Linked DNA regions of Sus scrofa. The protein of the gene in region 2 purifies or fractionates together with the protein of the main gene of each other region. This does not show direct contact. Links are inferred from orthologs where the notes say so. Each region holds a gene or a part of one and is shown on either strand. Other genes may lie near its edges. The genes, in order: PGAM5 and SLX4.

What was found.
Region 1: the proteins of SLX4 (region 2) and PGAM5 purify together in Homo sapiens (affinity purification with mass spectrometry; 4 studies listed by BioGRID and IntAct, with this or other methods). This does not show direct contact. The link is inferred for Sus scrofa from reciprocal best matches to the Homo sapiens genes SLX4 and PGAM5.

What each region holds. Positions count from the first base shown.
Region 1 is NC_010456.5:22,775,264-22,778,211, forward strand, and holds part of PGAM5 (serine/threonine-protein phosphatase PGAM5, mitochondrial), read right to left. Parts: intron 2,610-2,948; coding exon 2,431-2,609; intron 1,824-2,430; coding exon 1,698-1,823; intron 1,612-1,697; coding exon 1,523-1,611; intron 1,414-1,522; coding exon 1,280-1,413; intron 1-1,279. UniProt on the Homo sapiens protein: Mitochondrial serine/threonine phosphatase that dephosphorylates various substrates and thus plays a role in different biological processes including cellular senescence or mitophagy. Modulates cellular senescence by regulating mitochondrial dynamics.
Region 2 is NC_010445.4:38,653,283-38,657,095, reverse strand, and holds part of SLX4 (structure-specific endonuclease subunit SLX4), read right to left. Parts: intron 2,985-3,813; exon of another isoform or gene 2,238-2,984; coding exon 2,048-2,237; exon of another isoform or gene 1,071-2,047; coding exon 858-1,070; exon of another isoform or gene 1-857. UniProt on the Homo sapiens protein: Regulatory subunit that interacts with and increases the activity of different structure-specific endonucleases.

The DNA.
Region 1 (2,948 bases), on a different chromosome or scaffold from region 2:
TCATTACTGCTAAGCCACAATGGGAACTCCCCAGCAGCCCTGTTTTCAGCACAGGCACCATTCTTCCAAGTCCCAGCCATTTCTGGCCTGTCTTCAGCACTGGTGGCGCCATCTAGTGATGTAGGTGTCACCCAGGCCTGCCTCAAGCTGACCCTTCCTCCCAGCCGCCAGGCTTCTCCCCAGGGCCATGAGTGTGACACCTGAGGGCAAATGGCCCCAAGTGAGAAGGGCGACCCCCACAGCTACCACCAAACACTTTGCAGCGGGTCCAGGGGGAGGCAGGGTTCCAGTTACTCCAAATCTTGCACTAAGTAGGATTTGGGCAAATACAGAAGCACTCAGCTGGCCCTCCATGTGCAGGGCTCTCTGTGACTTGGGGCTGTGGCTCAGGGCGGGGGTCACTTATGAGGGCCCTGGAACTCTCTGTGGTGCCAGGAAGTAAGAAAGTGATCAGGGCCAAGGACACAGGAGCCCCTGGAGAGCTTACACCATCCAACACTGGAGCAGCCAAATGACTAATGTGGTCAGATTACAAACAACCCAGCCTGAAACAAACCCATGAGCCGACGATTGCAAATAATTCCAATTAATAAAGGGAGGGAGTTCCCTGGCGGTGCAGTGGGTTGTCAATTCTGTGGCTCAGGTTCGATCCCTGGCCTGGGAACTTCAACATGCTGCAGATGTGGCCAAAAATAAATATATAGAGAAAAACACAAAACCACTAAGTAAAAACTACCCAACAACTGTAGTGGCAGCACCTAGTGACAGGTGCTAAAGCCCATGGGAGTTAAATCTGGGGTGTCAGCGTTGCCTCCTAAAAAGCGCAACCTCGGAGTTCTCGTCGTGGCGCAGTGGTTAACGAATCCAACTAGGAACCATGAGGTTGCAGGTTTGATTCCTGGCCTTGCTCAGTGGGTTAAGGATCCTGCGTTGCTGTGGCTCTGGCACAGGCTCCGATTGGACCCCTAGCCTGGGAATCTCCATATGCCACGGAAGCAGCCCTAGAAAAGGCAAAAAGAAAAAAATAAAAATTAAAATAAAATAAAAGTGCAACCTCATGGTGCAAGGACCCAGAACACGGCGCCTGAGCTGAGCGGCCCCATCAGCACCGCTGGGAAAGTGGCCCACCAGGGCACATCAGTCTGGTCTGTTCCTACCAAAAACACTTGGTCCTGAGAAAAGCAAATTGAAGGCCGTTCTACCAGACAACCAACTCAGCCTGTGGAGAGCATTGGGGTACAAGGAGGGAAAACGGGCTGCGTGACCCCAGGACCCTCACCGGCACACGATGTAACGGATGACATTGGCGTGGCAGATGAAGATCTCATAACTGTCCTCCTGCTGCTTGGCATCAGCCCGGTGGATGTAGTTCCGGAAGGCAGCCTCGATCCTCGCGCCATCTTCGTAATACTGCTGGGGGCAGAGAGAGGACTTGTGCGGATGGAGGCCTCGCGGGCATCAGGAAAGGAGGGCCCCGAGTCTGGGCACAGCAGAGGGGCTGCCTGCCCCGGGGAGTTCTTACCACAGCCTCTGGCTTCCAGTGAGACACTGGGGGATCGGGCTCGATGGGGGCGCCCTCCCTGAGCAGGTCTGTGCTGACCCTGCAGACGCCTGTGGAGAGGCACAGGGCTCAGTGGCACCAGGAGAAGCTGCCTGCCCTCCCCACTGCCAGGCACCTGAGAGCGCCTGGCACTCACCTGGCAGGTGTTTGCTGATGATGTCAGTGGTTTCTATGGCGCGGGTCATGGAGGAATGGACGATTTTATTAAATTTCAACCCCAAGCTTGCAAGACGGAGACCAGTTAGCTCAGCCTGCTCACGACCTGGAGGGTGAAATACACCAAGGATCACATGTTACTGGGGCCACTCTTTGTCTGCCTCACAAATACTTCAGTCCCACTGGGGGTGGGGGCAAGACAGGCAGCCCCTCCCATGGCTCAGGCCTAACTAGGGGACCAAGCTTTCAACAGGTAAAACCAAGGAAACAGAGCAGCCACCTTCGGCTCCACACAGGAAAAACGTTAAAAACAGTGACCACAACAATAAATAAAAAATAAGCAGGGAGTTCCCCTCATGGCTCCGCAATAATGAATCCAAATAGTATCCATGAAGACACACGTTTGATCCCTGGCCTTGCTCACTGGATTAAGGGGTCCGGCGTCGCCATGAGCTGTGGCATAGGCCGCAGATGCAGCCCGGATCCTGTGCTGCTCTGTGGCGTAGACTGGCAGCTGCAGCTCCGACTTGACTCCTAGCCTGGGAACTTCCATATGCAACTAGTGGGGGCTGAAAAAGCAAAAAATTAAATAAAATTGATGACGTTTTCAGAGCCTGCCTTGTGTCAGTTCTGCCTGCTAATTACTGGTGATGACAACGCCCACATCTGGGCAAGAGCCCCTGACACAGGTCCAAAGAGGCCCAGCCACTTACCCAGGGGTGTCAGCGTGCGGTCCTTCTCCAGGGAGGCGTCCACATGGTACTGGGAGTGCCTGATGAGGAAGATGTGCCGAGTGGCCTTGGCTTTGTAGTGGTCCAGCCTGGACGCCAGCTCTTCTTCTCCGGGTTCAAGGTTCCTCTTCCGCAGATTGACCAGGGATAGAGGTTCTCGCCTAATGTTGAAATAGGAGAGACAGTCTTTCTGACAGAGGGGTTTCCCATCTTGAGAAAGCACAAAAGCAAAGGCCTCCGTACTCCACCCCTGCCCTGAGCACATGCCACACATCCCAGAACTCAGCACCAGGCCTTCTCTGGGCCACTGGAGCAAACAGAACAATCAAAGCCCCTGTGCCACTCATGTCCTTGGGAGGAGACTGACAGTCACAGCAAGGCAACCAGTGACACGGAGAGGACAGAAGCAAGTAACAGGAAGAAGTGGCTGTGGGAGGGCAGGCAGGAAATGCCCACAGGTCGGCCCAGCAAATGGGGACACTGTGCCCAATAGAAGCCAC
Region 2 (3,813 bases):
GAAGTCCAGAACCTACAGCAGGCCAGGGCCAGCGCTACTTTGCTCCCTGTACCACTGGGGCCTACTCTGGCGTCCGCAGTGCAAGGGGCAATGTGGAGGGAAGTCACCCTCTGCCACATGTGCCATGGTTTGCACACAGAGCACTTGTTTCTGGTTATCAGCAAGGCCTTCTATTTAAACACTTAAGCATTTATTTCATGCAAATTTAAAAGGCTTAAGCTTCTGTCTCACCAAGTTGAACTGTGCTGAGAAATCTTTTTTTTTTTTTTTGTCTTTTTGCCATTTCTTGGGTTGCTCCCGTGGCATATGGAGGTCCCCAGGCTAGGGGTCCAGTTGGAGCTGTAGCCACCGGCCTAGGCCACAGTCACAGCAACTCGGGATCTGAGCCGTGTCTGCGACCTACACCACAGCTCACGGCAACGCCGGATCCCTAACCCACTGAGCAAGGCCAGGGATTGAACCTGCAACCTTATGGTTCCTAGTGGGATTCGTTAACCACTGAGCCACGACAGGAATTCCTATGCTGAGTAGTCTTAAATTAATGGTATGAAAATCGGACTACACTGAGCTGGAAGCCATGCTGCCCCCCACCCACAGTGGGCACGGGGAGGAAAACCGCCGAATTCCTAGCTGCTCAGCCTGTGGGGAAGGACCTTGAGGAAACCAGTCCAATCCAACGGGTCCCTTTCAAAGCCTCCGAGGATGGAGCTCTCTCTCCTCCCCAGTTCCTGTGAAGCCTAGGCCCGGTTTCCTCCTGAGATGTTTCATCTTCAGAAGCAGAGAGCTGCTGGCCTCCAGCACTTCCACAGGCTTTTTTAAACCAGTCAGAGTACGTTTCTTCTTTGCCCCTGACTCACCTCGGCGCGGGAGTGCTGGAGGCCCCCTCAGGCTGAGCTGTCTGCAGCCGCACGGCCTGGAGCAGGAGCTGCGGGCCAACCTCCATCCTCGCGGCACACTGCTTCAGGTGGCTGAGCCGGCTCTTCGGGCGGAGGAACGGCTTGCCACAGATCGGGCACTCGGGCACCTGAGGTACGGACGGCCTCAGGGCCTTTTCAGCCTCATCCAGGCACCTGGAGGAAGACAGTAAAGGTAGAAGCCCCGCCCCCCTGGGGGTGGATCCTGCTCTGGATCCACGACGCACAGCACGGGCCAAGGTGCCTTCCCTCCAGGCAGCCTGCCCTTTCCCTCCAGGCAGCCTGCCCTCCGCCTCAGACACTGAACTTAGGCTTCTGTTAGCAGCAGCGTCTGAGGAAAGCAAGGGTGTATCAGAGGCACCGTGTGACCCGCAGCTCCGCTCCGGAGTGGATACCCCACCAGCTGAGGAGGTCCTCAGGCAGATCCAGGAGGAGACAACCCACAGGTCCACAAGTGGGCGAATGGATAAGCAAGACAAAGCCCCTCCAGACAGTGGAGTGTCATCCGACCCCCAAAGGAAAAAAGCACGGACGGGCGGACCCTGAAAACGCTCTGCTGAGGGAAGGAAGCCAGACACAAAGGCCACATGTTGTGAGTCCGCTTATGTCCGGAACAAGCAAATCCACAGAGACAGACAGCAGGTTAGTGGTTGCCAGTGGCTGAGAAAAAGAGGGAAATGGGGGTGCCTGTTAATGGGCCTGCTATTTTGGGGGTGATGGCTGCACAACTCTGTGAATACACTAAGTAACACAGCTGCACTGTTCACAGCATATGGAAGTTCCCTGACGGAGGGGTTGAATGGGAGCTGTAGCTGCCGGCCTGCACCACAGCCATAGCAACCATATCCGAGCCTCGTCTGCGACCCACACCACGGCTCACAGCAACGCCGGGTCCTTAACCCACTGAGTGAGGCCAGGGATCAAACCCGCATCCTCATGGCTACGAGTCGGATTCATTTCCACTGTGCCACGATGGGAACTCCAAAGAGAAGCAATTTTAGCTTCACACCAACACTGAGGTGCTGCTGTCACACCAGAGTGTCTCAAGATTCCCACCACAGCCCAGGGGCCCGAGGCTGGTCACAACCATGGGAGAGGTGGCCACAGACGGGTGATGGCCAGGCTGCTCCTACCGGTTCACATGCTGCTCCCTCCGTGTCACGTTCATGGCCGAGAGATTCTTTTGACAGATCTGGCAAAAGAACAACCCCTTGTCCTCCAGGCTGTCATCTCGTGTAGGTGCCGGTTCCTGCCCAAACTCCTGCTGGAGGATCAGGGGCACAGCAGTGTTGCTGTCTGTGGCAGGGAGCCCAGGCCCAGACCCTGTGGAGAAGCACAGGGACCCGTGAGGACCGCTCCTCCTCAGACCTCTTGGAACACAGACACCAGGCGGAGCGTGAGGAAGGCAGACCCAGCACTGCTCAGCCGCAGGTGCAGCCCCGTCTGGAAGTCCTGACACTAGGCAGTGGGGCGGGGGGGGCAGGGAGGTGGTCCTCAGAACTTTAACAGCATAAGGACCTCCAGGAAGCTCGCAAAATGCAGGTCCGCAGGCTGGCACTTGGGTGGTCTCGGTGGAGCCTCAGAGTCTGCATTCTGACACCTGCAAGGCAGAGCTGCTGCTGCTGGTCCAGGACCAGCCTCTGAGCATCAAGGTCCTGAAAAACTTGCCTTGCCTTTCACTTCCTGTTTCTGCTCAAGTCAGCAACCCGAGCATTCCCGGTCAGCAGGGCTCCAGTCCCAACCAGCCTATTAAGGTTTCTCTTCAAAGCTCGACCAGCTCAGAGTGAGGTGCCGCACTCGATATAAAAAGCAGAGGCCTCTTCTCAGCATCAGCAGAGGATGGACTGATTCTGATCGTGAGGTGGCTCCCAAGTGGCCGTGCCCACTGCGGCGGCCCTCTGTTGCACCTGACGTTGCTGGAGCAGACCTTTGACACTCACAAGGGATATGCCCTGAGAACTTTGTAAAAGCAGCATACTTCATTTTGGTCCTATCTATGTATATATATATATGTACATTAAAAAAAAAAAAAACAAATAAATGGGAGTTGCTGTTGTGGCGCAGAGGAAATGAATCTGACTAGGAATCATGAGGTTTTGAGTTCGATCCCTTGCCTCACTCAGTGGGTTAAGGACCTGGCGTTGCCATGAGCTGTGGTGCAGGTCACAGACGTGGCTTGGATCCTGCATGGCTGTGGCTGTGGTGTAGACCAGCAGCTGTAGCTCTGATTGGACCCCTCGCCTGGGAACCTCCTTATGCTGTGGGTGCAGCCCTAAAAAGCAAAAAAAGAAACAACCCCCCACCCCGAAAAAACACAAATAAGTGGTTTCTCTTTCCTGAGTATTACTGGGTGTGATGGGAAGGTTTATGGGAACAACTGGGTGGCATGGAAGCCTGGTGCTGGGCTCATGCACTGGCTGGGTGACGCCTCTGTACCCCTTGGTGGCCTGAGGACTGACTCCATGGCAGATGTCACACTGCTGTCACCTGTGTGAACCTTGGGGGTCGCCTGAGGATCCTCAGTAATCCTGAGGTAAAATCTGCAAGCACAGCAGCAAGAGGCTGAGCATTTACCAGCTGTGGGTCTGGCGATATGGTTTCTTCCTCTTTCTTTTCCTTGTATTTTCACAGGGAGGAGGATTCCTCTTGTTTAGAGGATAAAGAGTAGCACCGCCTGACACTGTGAGTCTCCTGGGCATTGGGATGTGCAGGACAGGGCACTACCCTGCAAGAAGGGCTTACGTGACACCAGGAGGAAACAAGCAAGCCCAGGAAGTGGGAATTTTAAAGGACGGATGTCCTGGACTTTTTTTTTTTAGTTTTTTTTCCCATTATAGTTGATTTACAATGTTCTGTCAATCCTGGTCTTTTTCATCTTTTTAGGGCTGCACCCGTGGCA